Rhinolophus ferrumequinum: one gene and its partners. The protein of the gene in region 2 interacts with the protein of the main gene of each other region in a pairwise test. Links are inferred from orthologs where the notes say so. Each region holds a gene or a part of one and is shown on either strand. Other genes may lie near its edges.

The links. The genes of interacting proteins can lie anywhere in the genome.
Region 1: the proteins of ATF4 (region 2) and CEBPG interact in binary tests that used the Homo sapiens proteins (3 or more experiments, as listed by UniProt). The link is inferred for Rhinolophus ferrumequinum from reciprocal best matches to the Homo sapiens genes ATF4 and CEBPG.
Region 3: the proteins of ATF4 (region 2) and TRIB3 interact in binary tests that used the Homo sapiens proteins (3 or more experiments, as listed by UniProt). The link is inferred for Rhinolophus ferrumequinum from reciprocal best matches to the Homo sapiens genes ATF4 and TRIB3.

What each region holds. Positions count from the first base shown.
Region 1 is NC_046298.1:34,555,140-34,563,115, reverse strand, and holds the start of CEBPG (CCAAT/enhancer-binding protein gamma), read right to left. Parts: upstream 3,016-7,976; 5' UTR 2,818-3,015; intron 1-2,817. UniProt on the Homo sapiens protein: Transcription factor that binds to the promoter and the enhancer regions of target genes. Binds to the enhancer element PRE-I (positive regulatory element-I) of the IL-4 gene. Binds to the promoter and the enhancer of the immunoglobulin heavy chain.
Region 2 is NC_046293.1:7,979,478-7,986,288, forward strand, and holds ATF4 (cyclic AMP-dependent transcription factor ATF-4), read right to left. Parts: upstream 2,600-6,811; 5' UTR 2,407-2,599; intron 1,834-2,406; 5' UTR 1,742-1,833; coding exon 1,516-1,741; intron 1,420-1,515; coding exon 584-1,419; 3' UTR 507-583; downstream 1-506. UniProt on the Homo sapiens protein: Transcription factor that binds the cAMP response element (CRE) (consensus: 5'-GTGACGT[AC][AG]-3') and displays two biological functions, as regulator of metabolic and redox processes under normal cellular conditions, and as master transcription factor during integrated stress response (ISR).
Region 3 is NC_046306.1:23,329,886-23,337,755, reverse strand, and holds the start of TRIB3 (tribbles homolog 3), read right to left. Parts: upstream 3,016-7,870; 5' UTR 2,795-3,015; intron 1-2,794. UniProt on the Homo sapiens protein: Inactive protein kinase which acts as a regulator of the integrated stress response (ISR), a process for adaptation to various stress. Inhibits the transcriptional activity of DDIT3/CHOP and is involved in DDIT3/CHOP-dependent cell death during ER stress.

The sequences.
Region 1 (7,976 bases), on a different chromosome or scaffold from region 2:
GGTACAGGACAATTCTACCGACCCCACTCCACCCCCCAAAAAACCTCACATCCACCATCCCTCTCCATCCCCATGCCACAGAATTACCTCAGGCTGACATCATCTCTCAGGGGCACTAGTCTCCTCTGGTTTCTCAGTGATCCCTCCAGACACTGTCTCCAGAGCAATCTAACACTCCAACTTGAGTGTGTCACACTCTCTTGCTGAAAATTCTTCTTTGGCTCCAACATACAGGATCAAATCCAAGGTATTAACCCTCTCTCCAATCCCTACTCCCTTACACTTCACACCTTAACAATACTAAACCACTATCAGTCCCCTAAATGGTCCGTGCTTTCTCTTTGTGCTTCTGTCCAGCTCGTTCCCCCCATTTCTTTGTCAACACCAGCCCTACAGCGTGTCTCCCTGTAGACTAACCTCGAGGCAAGACTGTCTTCATCTCCACATACCCAGAATCTGGTGCAGGGCTAGGTATATAATATCCCTGTGGTGCTCAAAATACTTGTAGTGCTCAACAAGTATTTGTTGAATACAGGATCAAAAGGCTAAGAGAAAACATATTTTTATAAATGTCTTATGAAAATGAGACTCTCTAGCTTTAAAATCTCTTAAAACAACTGCAATTAAATCAAGAGTTATTAGGATACCATGGTCTTACTACCTCAAGTTCTTGGTCTTTCTTAAAAGGTGTACAGGAAAATAAAAACACAGTTAGTTCCATTTGCTACTTCAAGTCCCCAGTCTATACAGTGACTGTATTCATTCTTGTCTGGTCTTTGCTTCATGTCAGTTGAGAGCCTTCACTTTCTACTTTGCCCGGTTGTTTTCCAATTAATAATGTCAAGTTCTTAGACATGTGTTGCCAGGATCTGACAACTCTGTGCTACAAGTGAAGTCAAAAGCAAGCAAAGTCAACAGACACCCAAATGAGCAGTATTTCTATTTAGTTACCACTGCTTGCTTCATGACCCAAAATAGGGGTCCATGAAAGAGGGTACATCCCTTCAGGGAGTACATAAGTATGAGAAACAAATGTATGTTCATTTGTCTTTTTTTAATGTCCTTTTTTAAATCCACTTTTGGTTTGATTTACAACATACAAAAAATAGTCTACACCCATTGTTTATAAATATACACCTGTTAGTAGGTCATGTTCTTTTTTTTTATTGATAGGCCTGGAAAGCCAAAAAGGTAGGAGATCAATGTACCTACCAGTACAAGAACCCACGAAGTGTCCCCTCCCAAGAATACACAATAAACCTGGAATTGCGGCTACGTGCATTCACCATTACTGTGATCAGGTGAGACAATCTTAGAACATAAGACCAAATTCAGCCCCATGAGGTCCTATTTGTCTTTACCAAGGACTCCCCATGTGCTATTTAAATCCCTAGGGATGAAACCACCTCTCCATGATCAGACAACCTTGCTGACAGTCATGATGTGTTCTTGAGAATTTAAAGGATATTCTGGGGGTGGGGGGAAATGCAGGCTTCCACTTTTTTTTTTTTTACAGCAGATATTAAAAATGACTGAATCAGCCACGTGTGCCCACCAGAAGCAGGAATCAAGAAACTGAAAAATTCAGCTCCCTAGCATTCTATAATTATTTAACCTTGTTTACAGTAAATTCTTCCAAAAATATTCAACTTTAAGAATAGCTTATCCCAAATATTACTTAAGTGGTAATAACTGACCAGATGTTAACTTTTAAATATGAAGAACTTTTAGATGCAGAGTTTCTTAGTACATCAAGCGTTTATCGTATTTTACTTCAAAAATTTCTTTGGGAGTCACATAGCCTATCTGAATTAAAGAACGATCTCTTCAAATAAGGATTCAACTGAGTGTAGGCTCAGAGACAGAACTACCAATTTTTGTGCAACCCACAAATGTTAAAACCTTTCTGAAACTAACACATTTTAAGATGCCAGATTAAGCATAAACCTCAGACAAGAGGAAAACCAAACAGTTACACCTTCTGAAGAAAACAAACATACAAGCCTACTGGGGAAAAAAAAGATTCCCGTTCCCCTCAAACCTGCTAATCCATCCTCTCCATCTCAGACACCTCTCCTGGCTATTTTCCTTACTGTGTTCCCTCCACTGAGCTAAGGAAGCAATTCATTTCCTGCCATTCTCTTTACTATTCAACTCGTGGCTGTTGCACATTCATCTCACCTATGTTCAACAGTAAACTGCAGGGTATTCAAACTATAGCTCCACAAGTGAGCATAATAGTATTTCTGTAAAGTCACGTAGGTAAAACATCCACTGGTTCCCCTGGCTACTTTATCACTCTATTAACTTCTGAACAGAATTCCCGACGACTCCACACTGAGCCGTTTTGGCGGGTCAGAAAACATCCCATGTAATACTAAAATAAGATATGGTCCACCTCCTGCTATTCTGGGAACACCCTTTATCCCCAGGGGCCAATACGAGCCTGGCTTGTCACAACTACACGTTTCACAGAGGGCCAGGGTTTGGAGTGGGCGCCCCTCGTCTTTCATCCCGTCTAGGGCCGGCGATGAGGGGCGCCCGAGAGAGGGGCGCCCGGGGTCCGCGGGTGGCGCCGCGGCGCTGGGCGGCGGCCAGGGATGAGCTCAGCGTCCCCGCCGGGTGTTGCCGGCAGGTTGCATCAGACGCCGCGCGGGGCCGCCGCCCGCGCCGCGGGCCGCGCGGGGCCTTCCCGGCTAGCCGGCCGCCTCCGACCCGGCCAGGTCTCCTCGGGCCGGGCCCGCGCCCACGCGAGCAGCCGGCGCGGCCGCGGCCTCCTCCTCCCTCAGCCCGCCCGCCAGCCCGCGGCCTCCATACCTGAGCCTCCGGCCCGCCCGCCCCCAGGCGGCCTCCACTCCGAGCGGCCCCGCGTGGCGCGGCCCGACCCGACCCAGGCCTCGCAGCCCACGAGTCAGCGAGGAGGAGCAATAGTTACGAAACCCGCAGCCTCCGCCCGTTCCGCCGCCGCCGCCACCGGCTTCCCCTAGTCGCCAGGGCCGCGCGCGCTACCGCCGCCGCCACGACCAATGGGAGGGCCGGCTTGCAGGCGACTCGCCCACCCCTCGCGACGGGCAGCGCCGCCAGCCAATCGTGGGTGGCCTGGCTGCGGGAGGCGGGCACGTGGCGGAGGCGTTGGCCTCGGCCGGTGGGGCTGGCGGGCGTGGCGGGAGCAGATGGTTACTCGCAGCGCCGCCCGTGGTCCCTCGGCTGTTCGCGTGGGCCGGCGGCCCGGAGGGGTAAACCCCAGCTGTAAGAAAGGCTCTGTGGAAGTTGGAGAAGCGTAGCTTTGTGAAGGCAACACTTATCTTTGGAAAGCGCAATATCCTAAGATGATTGAATCACCGAGTTCTTTTTTGGTTTCACCAGGTCCTGGGGCGTCCCTCACAGGGACAGTTTCCCAGAACGGCCCACTAGAGTCGCTTCCCAGGATGTGGGGCCCGCCGCTGACGCCTGACCTCCGACGGGCCCGGGCCCCTCGGATGGAACCTGGAGAGAAGTCCTGGACCTCACGGCTATGAAGACAACTGTGGACTTGAAAAACGAAGGAAGCAAAATTGTCCCAACTATGATTAGTGTTGATATCACATTGGTGAACACTGCAGACTGTGGTTCGTTATTGGAGGAAACGAATTGAATTTCCATGATCGATTACCGTGTGGTGTCTGCCAGGTGAACAGATTGAGAGACGTGATCTCAAAGAATGAATGGCTCTCCAACTTTGTTTATCTAAGTCAATTCACAGGAGGATCTGAAAGCGTCTGAAAACCAGGAAGCTGCGCGCTGGCTGGAGGACAGAGCCCGCTCGCCCGATAGGTTTGATTGTTTCCTCTTTAGCAATTCTTATCGTCCAAAAAATAGTCTTTGAAAGAGGAAACATTTCTTCATCGCCCAAGCCATGGGACCAGCTTTGTGCCTAAGACTGTTTCGAGGAATCAGAAAAGACATGCTAAAACATTTGCAAAAAATAAAAATAAAAGGACTGCAACTAAATATGAACAACGATAAACATAGAAGCGTATTTGGTAGAGTAACACATCAACAAAACCAGTATGCTTCTTTCACTTTGGCCCTCTGTTCTGAGTTGAAATTTCTTTGATCAAAATGTTAGCTTATTAAAATTGGATTATATTTTGTACTCTTAAAAATCGTAATTTTACCCTGATCATTGCCTAATCACCTAAATATTGTATAGGAAAAAAATTGTATTGGTATATTCATTTATTCTCTTGTTTGCTAACCACTCTGCCAAGCTGGCACAGCATTCTTCGTCTGTCTGGGAAAGCCTTCTCCCACACTCAGCAGGTCTAGTCAATGCCAAGGAGACGAGTATTTCCTATTCAGCTGGGAATTCTGTCTTCTGCTGGTTTACAATTTGTGTGTGTGTGTGTGTGTGTGTGTGCCAACTATGTGCTAAGCTGTGGGGATTTAGCAACAAATAAGACGAACACAGCCCTTTCCCACACGGAGCTTACACTTTAGAGCCAAAGAGACAGACATGCAGTAATTATACACTTTTTCTGTTAACTATATTACGAGAAAGAAGTACAAGATGCTGTTAGAGATTATAAGAAAGGAATCAAATCTGGCGTGTAGGTCAGGGAAGGCCTAAAAGAAGATGAATAGGATTTGTCTAAGTGATACCCATGAAGTGAATGTACCAGTCAGAGGGAATGTCTTACCTAAAGGTCTTTGTGATGGGAGAAATTTAAGGCCAGAGTGGCTGAAGCACAGTGTCCCACTGGAAAGTCAGCCACCACCTCCCTGTGTGCTCACATGATCTCTTTGTGTACATGCAGGGAGGAGAGAGCGAGAGAGAGCTGGTGTCTCTTCTTATAAGGGCACCAATCCCATCATGAGAGGACCCTCATGAACTCATCTAACCCTAATTACCTCCCAAAGTCCTCATTTCTAAATATAATTCCATCATATTTGGCATTAAGGCTTCAACATATGAACATGGGGTGGGGAGGGCCACAAACATTCAGTCCATAATAGGATGTCAAAGGAGCTAAATGAGAGAGCCCCGCCCCAGTGTCCAAAGAGCCCCAATGCCAATTTGAGTGGCAAAATAAATAATGTAATATTGGGTTATAACCCAAAGTATAAAATTAATATCCATGAGTTCATGCCGATATAAATAAATGATTGAGTAAATAAATGTCAGAAAAGAGACAAATCTCCCATGCGGAAGAATTCCAAATAATTTATGTAGATACTCTCTTCTCAGATGGGGGAGAATAACTCCCCACTCTTTTAGTGTGGCCCGCACGTCCTTCCGAAGAGCAGAGCATGAAAGGGAAAAATAAAGAGAAATTCTACAGTGGAGAAACCTGACAAACACTGCTACAGCCAGGTGACCAAGGTTCACTCAATAGACATACACCATGTTGATACGTGATGAAAATGGCACTTGACCTCTTTGATCTCAAGAACTCATAAGCCCAGTCTAACCAGGAGAAAAATACCAGACAAATTCCAATAGAGCGGCATTCTACAAAACACCTGACCGGTACTACTCAAAACTGTCAATGTCATTAAAAACAAGGAAAGTCAGAGGAAGTGTCACCATCTGAAGCATCCTAAGGAGACATGTAGTGTGGTATCCTGAACGGGATCCTGGGATAGAAAAAGGACATTGGATAAAAACTAAGGAAATCCAAAAAAAGAATGGACTTTAATTTATTTGGTATTGTGGCTCATTAATTGGCTCATTAATTGTAACAAATATACTATACTAATGTAAGATGTTAATAATGGGGGATACTGGGTGCAGGGTAAATGGGAAATCTCAGTCTTTTCAATATTTTGCAACTAAAATTGTTCTAAAAATAAAATCTGTTTAGGGGAGAAAAAAAGCATTTGAGATACATTACAGGGTTAACATTAACTTAAAACAGAACACTCTGAAATATTAACAAATCAAAGGCAGCACAGACTTCAGCTAAATTGATAAGGACGTTGAGCGCAGAAAAGCTTTGAGCCGCAAGTCCTACCTTGCTCACTACTGGTGACTGTGTCTCTGCCAGGCAAACCCAAGCCATGCAGAGAAATGGAGCCAGAGAGCGGGGGAACAGGACTGCAGGGACTCCTCCAGGAGGGGAGGAGGTGGCAAAGAGGGAAGAAGAGGCGGCGGGACAGCACTGTGGGGCTGCCAGAGGATGTGGAAGCCCTGGGAGTCATCTTTGGGCTACTGAGGGACCCGTCCTCAGAAGGTCCACATGCCAGGTCAATCTCTGGGAGCTGCAAGGCCGAGATGAGAAGGAAATGAAAGCTTCCTGGACAGAGGCATGTGCTTGTCCCATGTACTCACTCCTGCATTCTTTTTCATCTGTCTCAATTATTAGTTGAGTCCCCACTCTGTGCCAAGCACTGTCCCAAGCGCTGGCAGTCCTACAGAACAAGGCACTGGGGCTGGGGAAGTGGGAGGCTGGTGCCCAGCCTATGAGAAGGAGGCCAAGAAAGCACCACCAGGCTGGGTGGTGCTTGAATTTGTTGGCTTAGAGTCAGGAATCTTCTAGGCGTTTCTCATGGATTCTTCCTTTTACATTTTTTTTTTTTTAGGTTCCTATAGTAACAATCAGTTCCTGTGCAAGCTTAAACGTGGATTCAGATTTACTTGGGCGTGGTGGGTGGAGATACCAGCATCCATTCACATAAATATTGGGGGAATTGGGCTGGAAGAGGAAGGTGGAGATTGTTTCATTTTCCCTTGCAAAGGTTTTTTGGGGGAAAGCTAGGATTTGAAGGGACAAGCGCTGTTGTAGTCCTTATGAAGAGAGTGGCATTTCCCCCATCATTGTGAACCACCCCATTTCTTCAGCCTGGTAGGAACTGAAGTGAATGCAGAACTGCTTAACGTCTCTAGGATTTGTGTTTTTGTGAACCTCAGGCATCAACCCCCTTTGGCATATGGGCAACAAGTTGGAGAAAAAAAAGCTGAAGCAGAGGCCGTGCTAAGGGGCCTGTCCTCCAGAGACTTTGATGATAGGCGATACCAATGGTACGGTACACTATAGTGGGGTCCCAGGAGCTGCCAAGAAATACCTGGTGATGGAGGTTGGAGATTTGTTCTGTCACTGTTAAATAGACCTACTGTAGCCACAGGTGGGAAGGCTTGGGCAAACTTCAGAGCCAAAACAGTAAATGTCCTTTCAAAAATTTTCTAGCCTTATCTTGCCTCAACCAGGGTAAAGCCAAAGGTGCAGCAGCCTGAAGAGCTTATGAGATCAGAGTGTGTCTTGGGCAGAGAGAAATGGGGGGGGGTGGCGGGGTATGAAGTGGAGAACAATTGAGGAAAGCTACGAATGCCCACTACTTCTGGCGTGCTATCTGGCGGACAACTCCTTCTCAGCTCCACGTAGCCAGTTCCTCTCCATGCCTCAAGCCCCAAGCCAAGTCTCAACTCTCGGCCTTTGCTGACTATTCAAGTTCTTGCTGGCCTTACTCTTTCTTCTCATGGCATACATGTAACATTAAGATATACATTATGGTGTGCTTTTTGCTATTTTTTTGTCTGTCATACTCTGTTCTTATAGAAAGGTAAGGTTCTGTTTTACATACATACTGCTGTGTCGTGTACGTATGAGGTTTTAGAAAACACAGCTGGAGGGGATGAGAGACTTTGTCCTGAGTAGGGGTGCACCACGGCGTCCATTGCAGTCTACCTCTTGCACTGCTTGAATCCACTTATTACTTATAAGAAGTTAATCCCATCTGTGAATAGCTTCTCCGGAGTTTTGGATGGTCTCCTGTGCTGGAGAAATTTGCCAGAAGATAGCTAGCGGATGAACGATGGCTGCTGCTGGCCCCAAGGCGCACTGATGTTCATCACCTGCCTCCCCTACTCCCCCTTCTAGGTCACCCTCACTGTTGGCTAGCACTCTTCTGGCCTAAGCAGCTTACCTATTGGGGTGACCCACACCTTCATCCTTGAGAAATCTCTACCCTTTGTTATCATGTCCTTTTAAGGTCTTGGC
Region 2 (6,811 bases):
TTTGTTCTAACAAAAACCAACAGTTTTTGTCTTAATGGGTTTGGGAAGTGGCCTCTACAGAACAGTAAAAGCTTTTAAGTGAAATCCAATCACTTGTACGCTAAGCTCAAGGACTGCGGGACCTTATCTGGGTATTTAATGACAGATGTTGGCACAAAGCTAACAGGTGGAGCCCAGGCTGTTCCTGCCACACCAGTTCCCCTCAAGTGAAACTTCCCTACCTTGCAGTCACCAAAGAGCTATTGTAAGATCTAGCAATTCTGTTCTGGAAAAAACACCCAGGTACCTGCTCAGCTGTGGGGGATCTGGCCCAACCCCTCTGGCTCAAGGTCCAATGTAAGACCAGTGACCCTAACCTATGGCACAACAGGGTATGAAACATTTCATCCTGGGCTCAAATATTCAGCACATTGAAATCCCGCCCTCCACCGTGGGTCAAGAATCTAGTTCCAGGAGGATTGACCAGATTATTTACAAGGCAAGACACCAGACAGCAGTTTGCCAAGTACTTTCACTACAAAATAATTTATTACAACACACAGCTTCAGGCAAGCTTCCTATGTACAAGCACAGACTACCCTAACTAGGGGACCCTTTTCTTTCCCCTTGCCTTGCGGACCTCCTCTATCAAATCTTTCAGATACTGGATCTCCTTGGCCAAGGAATCTGCCCTCTCCTTCAGAGCCTCATTCTTCTTTTCTAGCTCTTTACACTCGCCAGTGAGGGCCTCCTGCTCTGCTCTCTTCTTCTGGCGGTACCTAGTGGCTGCTGTCTTGTTCTGCTCCATTTTTTTCAGTTTCTTATCCAGCTTCTCACTCTTTACTTTTGCTGCCACTGTCTTCTCTCCAGGTGGGTCATAGGGTTTGGGGCGGGCAGAGCCACCACAGCTGGCACCTGGAGACAGCAGGCTCTTATTTGGAGAGGCCCTGGAGGTAGTGGGGCTATGCTGGGGAGAGCCCAGATAGGACTCAGGGCTCATACAAACGCCACTATCATTGTCTGAGGTGGCATCCTCCTCCTTTATGCACTGAGGGATCACGGAAATGTAAACAGTGGAGTCTGACTTTCTATCTCCTTCAGAGATATCGACTTCACTGCCTAGCTCTAAACTAAAGGAATGATCTGGAGTGGAGGACAGGGCCCCTGGTGAAAGAGGAAGAGGTTGCAGGAAGGTGAATGGGGCAACCTGGTCAGTTTCTGGTAAGCTTTCTGAAAGATGGCCAATTGGGTTTGTTATTTGGGGGGGCTCCTTATTAGTCTCCTGGACTAGGGGGTCAAAAAGATCACACGTGTCATCCAACGTGGCCAAAAGCTCATCGTGCATGGTTTCCAGGTCATCAAAACTCAATAGGGCATCAAAGTCAAACTCCTTCAGATCCATTTTCTCCACCATCCAATCTGTCCCGGAGAAGGCATCCTCTGCGAGAGATGTAAGAGGGATGAAACATTCAGCCAAATGCACAAGGCAGCAAGCCCCGCTGCCCAGACCCCCCCAGGCAAAGGACACCCACTCACCCTTGCCGTTGTCTGAGGCACTGACCAAGCCATCTACAGCCAGCCATTCGGAGGAGCCCGCCTTAGCCTTGTCACTGGAGAATCCACGAGGTTTGAAGTGCTTGGCCACCTCCAGGTAGTCGTCTAATAGACCTAGACTTTCTTCAGCCCCCAAACCCGACTGGTCGAAGGGGGACACGAAGCCCCCCACGAACACCTCGCTGCTCAGGAAACTCATCTCGGTCATGCTGCGGGGTTTTGCTGGAATCGAGGAATGTGTGTAATTCGAGGATGTCTTTGTCCGTTACAGCAACGCTGCTGCTGGGTGCCGTGAAAAACCTGAATAGGAAACCAAGTCCTATTAGCGAACAGCCGGTCTGAGAATTTCATCTTTTCACTCCTGAGGCAGGATGGCCAAACCGGAATTCTCCTTGGTTGTCCGGGATCGGCAACACGTGGCCCCAGAGCCATTAATGTCGACCTTGCCCGTTCCCCGGTCAGGCGACACAAGATGGACGCCCTTGCAGCTCGGCCGTTCCTCAGCCACAAGAGGAAGGCGCCGCATCCTTACGTCCAAATACGGCTGCAGCCGCCCTGCCCCGCCCGCCGTGACTCACACGGCCCGGCCGCCGCCCTGCCCCGCCGCCATCTTGGCCCCTGCCACGTTTCGCTGGGCACCAGGCGGAACCCTGGCGGCTTCCGAGGCCGCCGCGCGCCTCTTCCCCCCCGCGCCGGGCCGCGCTTTCCTGACTCAGGCGTGCTGGCGTCTCGGAGACACCCAAACAAAAGCCACGCGTCGCGGGCGCTCATAAAACCGCTTCCCCCTCCGCGACGCGGCCCGGCCGCGCCCAAGCAGGCCGGCCCCTCGCTCCACCATGGGCGCACGGCCAGCGCGCTCGGCCCGGTACTTACGCCATGGCTTAAGCCGCTGGGGGATGCCGCTGCAGAGCCTGGTGCTGCTGCCGCCGCTGCAAAGGCCAATGCTGCCGCAGGCACGGCTGCCTCTAATGCGCCATGGTGGCCGCGGGTCCGCGGGAGCAGAGGAGGGAAGCAGCACAGACCGGGAGCTAAGTGGACATCTGTAGGCGGGAGGAGAAATGGCCGCCGCGCCCCGGCCGCGGGTCCTTTATAGATTTTTGCCTCTACGAGGACGCCTCACACAGCAAATTCTTCCGCCGTGGTCACGTCACCGGCACCACCCACCCACTTCTTTTCATCTATCCGACGCCCTACCGTTTCCAACCAACAACTTTTGCGCCCAGGGTGCAGCTCTGAAGAGAAAGTGGGTTATTTTCAAGGTCTCAAAAAAGGAAAGACGCACTACTTTACACAGCTTCTAAGATCAAAGAGTCACTGTTCCCTCTGCGGCGGGGGAGCGCGGAGGGATCCACCAGACACGCCTGCCTTCCGGTGTTGGCTGAGGGGCGGGGAGAGAAGCCTTTCATCCCAAGGAAGGTTTTTATTGTGAAGTCGGAGCCCGCCTGGTTATCGCGCGAGATGCCGGCGCAGAGGGCGCTCGAGCTGATTGGTCAGGTATGGTGAGTCATATGTTTCTCGTGTTTTTATTGGCTCAGGCGCTGAGGAGGGTGGGCTGTTCGGTGAGATTGCCCAGGGTCCGCGCGGGAAGAGGTGGGTTCGGCTTGATGCGTATCCCTCCCGTGGTCTCCTGTCTGTCTGCCCCCTCTTCTCCGTGATGCTCCTCTGTCTGCAGTGGCTTCGGCAGCCTGGCTGGTAGCTGGCCATGACGGGTTCTAACCCAGTGCCATGGGGGTGTCAGGCCCCAGCTTCTTGCCGCCCTCAGTGAAGCCCCGAACTACTGACCAGGTTGAGTCCGGAGGATGAAACCAGGCAAAAGGAAATGTCATTTTGTGTGCGATTTCATCATATGCAAGCCCTTCAGTGGCTGAAGGGGAAGTCTGAGGACCTCAAGGGAAAGATCATCTGATCCATGCCCGCCTATCAGAAAAGGCTCGCTCTGCATCGTTACTCTGAACTCTGTAGGGCCGGGAAGATGCTTAATCCTGTAGGCCAACCTGTTACATTTTTACATATCCATTCTCCTAAATGTTTGCTAGTTTATTAAAAGTATGCAGTCATATCACAGGGGAACGTCTTTTGGTTTATGAAGTTCAGTTTCTCTAAGAACAGGTAGAGATTTTATTCAACTGGGATCTCTCACTCGAGGGTCGTTTCAACAAACTTCCAATTCTGTAACTCCCAGGCATGGCCACTTCCCAGCAAGTCCTCCGAATGACCCTGTGATGAAGAGAACCCACGCCCACTCGGGGTTCCTGTGTTTGGAAGCGGCAGTCCGTGTAAGGGGGCCAGCAACTTGCTCTCTGCTGGGGAGATGTTAGAGTGCTCTCTCTGCCCTCTTCCAGTCCCCTCCAGTCAGGCACCGTAGGGAGAGAAACCTTGAGTTTCTGCCTCCATTCATTTCAGTGGCCATACAAATACATTTCTGTGAGGGCTGTGATGTCAAAACATTTGGTGAGCATTGTCCTAGACAACTACACACCATTCATTGACTTCTTTCATCTAGCTTAGCAATTTCTTTACAATGGCAAACTGAGGACAAATGGGGAGGAGGTGTCTTGCCAGAGCTCCCAGTGAAGGCAGCATGGGGTAGGAGTCAGAAGATAGATTTTAGGGGCAAACCCAAGAGTCCTGGCTCTTCCATTTATTAGCTGAGACATTTTGGTTAAGTGACTTATCCTCACTGAGCCTGTTTCCTCATCTGGAAGATGAGGCTGATGGGTAGTATCCTTATCCTTAGAATGAAGTCAAATCATGTATGTGTAAAGCACTGAGCAAAGTGCCTGGTACTTGATTTAAGTGCTCAGTATACAATTACTATTAGAACTCGGGACTTCTGACCCCGCCCTCCCGATACTCCCTCCCCATCGCCATTACATCGTCCTGCATCCTCAGAGGACACCTATTATTTACTGAGAAGAAACCATAACTAAACAACTGGTACATGCAAAGCATACTGGATGCTGGGACAAGTGTGATTTTTCTTTCCCGTTGGAGAATCGCCAAGTGTCAGGATACACAGAACTTGTCCAGTCTTTCAGCGCAAAGGCAGTAAGAAGTCCTAAGCCACTGCATAAGTCCTCCAAAGGCATAACTAAGGACCCACGGGGCATGGCCTCCTTCTACTGTACGTCACTGCCTCCTGAGGGATGACCAGGCAAGTAGTTGAGAATTAAAGAAGTAACACTGCCCCAGTTTTGATGCTCCAGAGGTCATGGAAGAATGACTCTTATGGCAGCTCGTCCCATCCATTCTATTATGGACACCTAGATCAAGCACTTCAAAAGTTCTAGCTGAAATGAAGAACCTGTACCACTCCTGTAGGAAAACGTTTCATACCACACACAAAAGTCAAAGCTGTTGGAAAGGAGGCTTTTATTTTCTTCTTCCCATGCTGTGGAAGGACATCAGGTTCCCCAGCTTCATTTCCTCCCTCAATAGAAAAAGGACAGCAGTTCTCTGGGTCTCAGGGCTAAGCTGCTTCTATGGAGCTAACCAAGATAGGACAGAAAGCCTGCTGACTGATTCCAAACCTACCAGCCAAACATATCAACTGCTACTGAATGGCAAGCAAGTGACTAGAGGGCAAGTTGTGGACTTGGCCTCAGGGACTAGGAATTTAAAGACTAAAAGGTAAGTGACTAGAGGGCAAGTTGTGGACTTGGCCTCAGGGACTAGGAATTTAAAGCCCAAAAGGTAATCAAAATGAAAAGGTCAACACCACACTGTACGCAGTTAACCCCAGAACCCACGTCTCTGGTATTTTGGCCACTTAGAATCAGCAGTGTCTAACAGGGATACAGCCTCACAGCTCTTGTCCTAAGTGTCTCTTACCATTCTTTTTGGCCTTGAGCTTTAGCAGGAAGGCGAGAGTGCTAACAAATCCTGTGAGAGCAGACATTCTCAGCCAGGGTCATCATCTCAAGGAAGATGTACCAGGGCAGAGGACTCTGGACACATGCAGGAACCCCTACTTACAGAAACGCCTCGGGACCTCTCTGGGGGCCTTTTGATCCTGAAAGTGATTCCTCATCAAAACCATTTCCGCTCTCAGCCTGAGTGGGGTACAAGGGAGCAAACTCAGCTAATCGGGAGGGTGAACCAGTGGACTACTAGGGGCCGAGACCCAGGGGAAAGACTATGGCCTCAACACAGCTTTTCCAAACATGAGCTTCAATTATTTTATTTGGGGGAAGAAAAAAGAAAAGTCACAACCAAGTATACAAAAATACTGTTGTCCTGAACTCAATTTTTAGGAAGAGGCAACAGGGAGAACCAAAATACACTTTGGAACTGATTAGTTTTTCAAGATGATGAGTGTATTTTTTAAGCATTAGCTAAGTGGTTTGCTAACCTAGATGGTGCAAAAAAAAATGTCCAGATGGAAAAGTAGGACCAGATGCTATTACTTCCAGAAAGGTGCGAGTTACTGAGTAGAAAGGCAGAATGGCGGGGAAAGGCACGACATCTTTCCCCAAAGACGGGGGCAGGGCGGGGGGTGGAGGTGGGCAGAATGTTGCCCTCTTCCATCCAAGAATCTCAAAGCACTTGACTGTTTTCCGTATTTTCCAATCAGGCCTGCCCCGTCGGTCAGCAAAACCACCAGGACCAGGGCCAGGAATTCCCACTGCTTCTAGTTCTGCAGACTTCTAAAAGGTTCTTGCTTGTGACATGGCAAAGTTATGGTTTTTGGTTTTGTGAGACATAGTTAAGAGACAGAGATGCCCTTAGAAAGATGTTCTTTAAGAGGAGATAAACTCAAATCACGATTACACTTAGCTTTGAGAATTTGGGACTTGCTCTTTAAAAAGTCTTTTCCTTTTTGAGGTCTCCAATGTTTTATATGGAATTTGGTTGGAGACACCAGCTTGGGAAAATTGTAGGTTTTATAATACACTAGGAAAACCAACCCTTCCTGTCAGTGAAGAATAACCCATGCTTTTCCAACACCTTCTCAGCCTGCCCGTCCCTCCCCTCTACTGATGTCATGCCAGGCTCCACCCCGTCCGTACCCTCTACACCACTCACCCAGGGCAGCACTCAGTCATATAGATTTTTTTAAAATTCTAGTTTGATTCTGATGAACAGCCAGGGTGGAGAATCTTTCTCAGGGTTCTGGGCTTTGTATTTTTCATTCTCTCAATACCTTCCTACAAGTGAAACAACTGAAGCACTTTAAGAAATCCTTGCATACACAGAAGAGGCAGGAAGACTCTCCTAATATAGCCAAGGTTGACCCTAGTTCTCAGCTTCCTAAGCCATGACAAAAGGGGACAGGCAT
Region 3 (7,870 bases), on a different chromosome or scaffold from region 2:
ATACACTGTTCCCCAATACAGTCCTGATCCCCTTCCCCAATAAAATCTTAAAAAAAAAATAATGCTCACCAAAAAATTAGATCAGAACCTTGTGTCTAAATAGCAAAAGGCAAGAAACACCCTCAATGTCCAGCAGTTGGAGGCTGGTTAAAACATTATGGTACAGCCATGCAGTAGAACACTATACAGTTCTGAAAAAGGACCGGGAAGCTCTCTACATACTGATGTAATAATACCAGTACAAGGTTATTCTTGCAGCCCATGTAATAGAAATAACTGAACATCCATCATTAGGGGTCTGGTTACATAGATTGTATTTCATCCATACATGGAACTCAGCCCCCAAAACCCACTCCCATCTGGCAACCATCAGTGTGTTCTCTGTATCTAGGAGTTGGTTTCTATTTTGTATGTCTGTTGTGTTGTTTTTTTTTTAAATTCCACATAAAAGTGAAATCATATATTTGTCTTCTCTATCTGACTTCTTTCACTTAGCATAATATCCTCTGGGTCCATCCATGTTATTGCAAATGGTAAAATTTCATTTTTTATATCCAAGTAATACTCCATTGTACAAGTATTATATATATGTACCACATCTTCTTTATCCAGTCCGTCTATTGATGGACACTTAGGTTGCCTCCATATCTTGGTTATTGTAAATAATGCTGCAAAGAACATAGGGATGCATATATCTTTTTGAAGTAGTGTTTTGGATTTCTTCAGACAGATATCCAGTAACTGAATTGCTAGATTATAAGGTAGTTCTGTTTTTAATTTTTTGAGGAACCTCCATACAATTTTCCATAGTGGCTGCACCAAGTTGCAATCTCACCAACAGTGCATGAGGGTTCCCTTTCTCCACATCCTTGCCAACACCATTTTCTGTTGATTTATTGATGATGGCCATTCTGACAGGTGTGAGGTGATATCTCATTGTGGTTTTAATTTGCATTTCTCTGATGATTAGTGACTTTGAGCATCTTTTCATATGTCTAGTAATGCCCATAGGATTTTTGTGGTGAAGAAATTAAAACAGAAATAAAGTAGCATGGCCTTGTTACAGGATAGGAGTCAGGAAATGGTCACTACTGCTGTTCCATTATTATTTATTATTATTATTATTAATATTATTATTATTAGCTGAAGATGCTCAAGTGCTACCATATGGAGACTCAGAAATCTCCCCAGGGATGAGGCTAGGATGACCTCACTGGCTGTTCTGAGTCAAGCAAAATGACCCCTGGCTGTGTAGATGCTTTGTGCCCTGTGAAGCAGAGACTCCCTGGAGTGGCTTTCTGGTGGTTGTACAGCACTCCAGGCTGCTTTGGCCCTACTGTACCTCAGAGCCTGGTGGGGCCTGGGATGCCCCACACCATTGAACAGGGGTATCTGAATCTATAGATGAACATGGGACTTTGCAGGCCACACTGCAGGATCTCCACTGTAGGATGGAGGCAGCCCCTAATATCTACCTCTTACTGGTCCCTGACAACCCCATGGGAAAAGGGGCAGGTCGTACTAAATACACACTCACACAACAGGGGAGACAGGTGTACACACACCCCTCAAAAACACACTTTGTCCAAGCCAGCCAGCAGAGACACATACATCCAGGGTAGACACAGGCACACACATCAAGTGATACACACTTACCTCTCCCTCCACGGGCAAGCGTGCACGCACACACACACAGCTCTCCCAACCATCACACTCACGATAGCAGGACTGATAGCAACAGGGTCACACGCACAGTCTGACACGCCCCCTCCCCGCCCTCGCCCAATACACACACATTCACTGGGCCTAAGGCAGTCGGCTGCCTCGCCGGCCTCCCGCAGCCAGGCTCCTCCCTTGGGAGCGGAAGAGGCGGCAGCGGGTGTCTCGGGCAGAAGATTCAGCGGAAACCGAGGTGCGGTGGGGAATCAGGAGGGGGTGAGACAGAGAGAGGGAGGCTGGGCCCAAGGGCAGGGGGCAGGAGCGGGGCTGGGCCCTCGCCTCCCCTCCCCAAGTCTCCAGGTACAACACACGCCGTCTGCTGGATCGAAACACACGTGCGCACAGTGCAACGTGCAAACCGGTAGGTACACACCTGCGGCCCAGGACCGGCGCGCAGCAGGGTCCCGCATCCGCCCGCTGCCTCCGTGGTCCCACTTGACCTGCACGGGTCCTCCGCCTCCAGGAAACCCCTGCCCTACCCCGCCCGTACCCCCTACACAGCCAACACCTGCCACCAGGTGCTCTGCCCTCCCCGCAACTCTCACCGTCCGCGGAAACACAGAGTCCCGAAACACATCCCCACCCAGACCCCACAGGCTCCCGCGGACTCCCGCGGATACCCCCCCACAGTGACAGAGACTGTACATACAGTCCTCCAGTCCTCCAATGCAGTCCCTCACACACACTCCTCCCCCACCAAACCACACGACTCCCCTGACCCACACTCACCCAAAACACAGACAACCGCACACCTCTCTCGGACCCACACACGGACACCTCCGTCCTGGCTCCCTCCGCCCCCGGGACACAGCTAACACCCCCGGGGTGTGCTCCCTCGCCCTAGCGGGTGTCGGCCTCACTTGGGCGACCCCAAGGCCTGAGGGGCTGCGTCACCTGAGACCCGGCAGGAACATTCGGCCCAGATCGCCCCCGGACGGCCAGGTTTGTTCAAAGGGGTGTGTGTAACACGCGGCAGCCCGGAGCCATCCCGAAGCTCGCCGGCCACCCTCCGCCGGTCGCCCCTCCAACCTACCCGCCCCTCCAACCTTCCTGCCCCTGGCTCCCAGCCGGGTACCTTGCCCTGGTGCGGCGGTGTCCTGCGGACCCCTAAGTTCAGAGTCGCCTGGGCACCCCTGGTGGACTGGGACCTGCTCCGCTGCTGCTGAGCTTGGGATCTGGCGGAGCTCTGGCCTCGACCCCCCGCAGCCCGAAGCGTGCGGAGCCGCCGCGGCTTCCGCGGCGAGTGTCTCTTGGACGCCTGGCGCCAGGCGACGGTTCTGGCCCGGGTGATGTAAACCTGAGCTAATCAGCAGCCGCCTGAGGCGCTCCGGCCGGGGATTGCACCATCCCCTGCGCTCCGCCCCTCCCAACGCGCTCCGCCCCGTCCCTCCGGTTAGGTTCCCGGGCGGGGCCGGGGCACCCCTCGCCTCTCCCGCCCTCGAAGGGTGTCTCGTCTCCACCCCACTCCCCTTCCGCCCCGCGCCCGAAGTTTGAGTGTAGACACCAGCCACTGACTCTCCCTATCATCTTGGAAAAAGCATTTTGCTTTTCTGAGCCTTGGTTTCCCCATCTGTGAAATGGGAAAAACATCCTTGCTTCTCAGGATGGTGCTGAAGAGAAATAAAAAAAGCAAACCATTACAGCCTCCTGGCTACCTTTCCACCATTGCTTTTTAAACCTTTAGAGAAGCTTTGGCAGGCAGGAAGCTCTAGTCTCCCCATTCTACTAAGGAACTGCCTGAGGCCCAGCTATGGGAAAGCAGCCCAGGAGCTTTACAAAAACCACAGATTTATAGGAGCTGATTCCTGGCTCAAAAGAGCCAGTGTGGTGCCCTGGGAAGGCCTGAGGTAAGGTGAACTTCACAGCATTCATTTGATAAAGGCAGTGCAACCATTAGTAGTGGTTAAGAGCAGGCACCCTAGAAACAGCCTGCCTAAGAGTGCACCCCACCTCTGCCCAGGCCACTGTGCTACCTCAGGAATGCTACCTAAAACCCTGCTTCAGTGTCCTCCACTATAAAATGGGCTTATAATAGCACAGCATTCACTTCATAGAGTCGTTGTTTGGATAAAAGAAGTTAGTAAAATGCTTAGAACAGTGTGTGGCACATCATAGGTGCTCAATAAAAAGAGTATACAAAATGGAGGCTCAGCGAGGGGAAGATGCCTATCACGGGACTTGCACCCCAGGCCTGGCAGGCCCTGGTGGCACTTGCTATTTGGTAAAGCATCCCTGTGCAGCCCCGGGGATCTACACTTTTCAGTGGAAATCCTTTCTAGGTCTTGATGTCTGGAAAAATATGATGTCAACCCTCAGTTTTTCCTCTGTCTCTGAGACTATTTCTGATTAGTTCATTTATTCTTTTCTTTATATTCCACATATAAGTGAGATCATGTGGTATTTGTCTTTCTCTGACTTATTTCACTTAACACAATGTTCTCTAGGTTCATCCATATTGTTGCAAATGGTAAGATTTCATTCTTCTTTATGGCTGCGTAATACGCCATTGTATAAATGTACCACAGTTTCTTAATCCAGTCATCTACCGATGGGCATTTCAATGGACTCTCATTAGGGAGACCACCTCAGGGATGACGTACATGCCTGATCACTGCACTGTACACCTGAAGCTGAAGCTGAACAATAATGAATGTCAACTACAACTATATACATATATAGTTACAAGAAGCGGAGTACAGCATGAGGAATAGTGACAGTGGAAATGTAATGGCTGTGTGCGATGTCAGAGGGGTAGTGGATGGGGGGTGGGGGGTTGTCACTGTGTGAGGGCTATAAATGATAAATGTCTATTACATTGTTTTGTGCACCTGAAACTAATAAAAACAAATGTTAAAAAAAAAGATGTCAAAAAAATAACTGCTCAGGCAGAGGTTGGATGGGAGGCGGTTGGAGTCACCTTTGTTTCCCTAGTTCCAGAACCATAGGGACCAGCTCACTAGTGTCTCAGATCCTTCAGGGCACACTAGGGGATTCTGGGATTTCATTTAACCCTGGAGACTCCCCTGCCTGGGAGGGATAAATGAACTCATTTTCTACACCAGGACATCTAGACTCAGGTCAGAAGTTCCCATAGCTGTTAGGGGTAAAGAAAGGTAGGGATGGTTGTCTTCTGAGCACCTTTATGAAGCTGGCACTGCGCTGGGTTGGCTCACACATTCCTAACTTTGTTTCGGGTGTCAGACCCATGCCTGTCACGACTCATCGGAAACAAGACTGACCCATCGCTGTCCTCATGGATTGTATAAATCAATGGGGAGACAGGCCATTATCAATAAAATAAAATCAATAAACCACGATCATTGAAAATAGATTATAAGTGTCATTTATTTTCTTGAATAAAATAGGGTAGATTTTTCTGTATCAGAGATGACTGAGGGATGGCTGTTTTCAGTAAGTCTCATCAGGAAGGTGATGCTTAAAGTAGGATCTTAAGGAAGAATAGGGGTGACTAGTGCAAAGATGTGAGGGGGAAAGAGGAAAAAGTAAGCACAGAGATTCTGAGGCACTGGTGAGATGGGCACTGTCACCTACATTCTATAAATGAGTCAAGGTGAGGGACTTACCCAAGACCACCCAGCTCATTGTATGAGGTAGATTTGGATTTGAACTTGGGGCCGCTGACCCCAGTGTCCACACTGGCCAGGGACATTTCACAATCTTTGCAAACCAGCAGCCTCCACCCTCACTTGTAGGTATGTTCTCTGGAACCACACCCTGGGCCTCGGCCCCAAGTTTGAGGCCCTTGTCACAGCTGGGGGTGTCACATCCCAATTCTCTAGACCAGCACTTTCCAATAGAATATAACATAAGCCACATATGTAGTTTCAAATTTTCTAGTCATGCACTAAAGAAGAATAAAAAGAAACAGGTGGAATTAATTTTGATAATATATTCTATTTAAACCAATGTATCTAGCATATTATCATTTCACAGATAATAAAAATTATTAATGAGTTCATCTAAAATATTTTCATACTAATGTCTTCAAAATCTGGTGTGTATATATTACACTTAATTTGGACACAAATCAGCATGGAAGCTAAATTGTTAAAGTAATGGTTAAAGTAAAATGTAGTCCTACTAAAAAACTTAAGCTGTATTTAATGGAAAAAATATGTTACCTGACCTGTCTTAAAATTAAAATTCAATAAAATGAAAAATTCAGTTCCTTGGTCACAGTAACCACATTCTAAATGCTCAGTAGCGAGCCGGCCCGGTGGCCCAGGTGGTTGGAGCTCCGTGCTCCTAATGCCGAAGGCTGCCGGTTCAATTCCCACATGGGCCAGTGGGCTCTCAACCACAAGGTTGCCCATTGGACTCCTCGACTCCCACAAGGCATGGTGGGCTCTGCCCCCTGCAACTAAGATTGAACACGGCACCTTGAGCTGAGCTGCTGCTGAGCTCCCAGATGGCTCAGTTGGTTGGAGCCCGTCCTCTCAACCACACGGTTGCCAGTTCGACTCCCGCAAGGGATGGTGGACTGCACCCCCTGCAACTAACAGCGGCAACTGGACCTGGGGCTGAGCTGTGCCCTCCACAACTATGACTGAAAGGAAAACAACTTGACTTGGAAAAAATCCTGGAAGCACACACTGTTCCCCAATAAAGTCCTGTTCCACTTCCCCAATAAAATCTTAAATAAATAAATGCTCAGTAGCCACACATGTGGCCATATTGAATAGCACAACCCTTGACCAAGAATTCCTGACACATGGTCCAGGGAGTACAACAAAGAAGTGAAGAGTCTGTCCGGTCCACAACGTAGATGCCAAATAGCCTTCAGCCTCAGTTCCTGCATCTATTTCCTGCATCTATAAAATGGGATTAATCATACTTTTCTTGCATTGCAGTCTTAAGGGTTAAATGCATTGAGGCAGCCTAGTGTCATAGTCAAACCACATTTCCTGGGTTCAAATCTTACCAATTCCAAGGTGAAATTTTGTGTAAGTTATTTAAGCTCTCTGTGTCTCAGTTTCCTTATCTGCAAAATGGGGATAATAATAGTACCTATTGCATTGGTTTGTCATGAGGATTAAATGACGATATTTGTGAGGTGCCTGGAATATAAATGCTATGTAAGCATTTTTTAAAAGTGAGAAAATAAATGGTTGCCAGACCCCCAAAATTAAATGCAAAAAAGTGCACTTTCCTGGAGAGAGAGTTATTTTTATGACATCCCTTCTCTCCAGGCTCAAAACATCCTCCACCCAGGTGTCTGAGCCAAGCAGGCTGCATTACTATTGCTGTAGTTCTGATGAGCCCAGTCTCTGGCCCTCAGGGAATTTAATTCCTCTTCTCTCTTAAATCCATTCCAATCACAATTCTACCTGCTCGCCCTTCCCTAGGGAAACTGCTCTTGTCAAAGTCACTGTGTGTCTAAGTCCAATGCTCAGAGGACTGTGCCCCAACAGAGGAGAGGAGGTGGGAGTCTGTGGACTGCTATGATGGGAGCCACGACAGGAGCCACACCTGCCTCCTGCCATTCCACCCAGGTGTCACTAGTGATTGCTACATGTCTCAAATTCTACGATTGGTGCCCTTAAACCTTTCATCTCTGTATGTTCTCCCCACGAAAGGGAAACAATGCCTTGGAAAGATTTCCGGTTAGACTCTAGGTCTGGCTGAAGCCACAGACCTTGTGAGATCGTGGGCAAGTCACCTCCTCTTTTGGAGCCTTAGTTTTCTTATCTGTAAAATAGGAAGAAAGATTTGGATTAGCTCAGTGCTTTCCAAAATATGATATGTACAGCAGTGGTAGATGCCAGATAGTTTTAGGTCTCCAGACTCTATTACATAACATTGAATCATATCATGATACATGTATTTCTTTTTTGTTTTCTTCCTGTTCCTCCAATTACTGGGGAAGAAAATCTCATTTAACAGCTTCTGTGTCTTTAACACTTCACTTGTTAAGGAAGAGAGAGCAGGGCTCAGCTCAGAGCCTTCAGCAAGAAACAGGTTCTAACTAGAATTCAAGAATAGTGTTTTTGCTTTCCTGGCATTTAATGTTACTTCCCTTTTATGGCAAATGGTAGTGACTTTCCATTTGAGGTGAGTGATTTAAATTTAAAATTTCCATTTAAAATAAATTTGCCTAAATTTTTTTTATTTTATGAGCTAATAGAAAGAA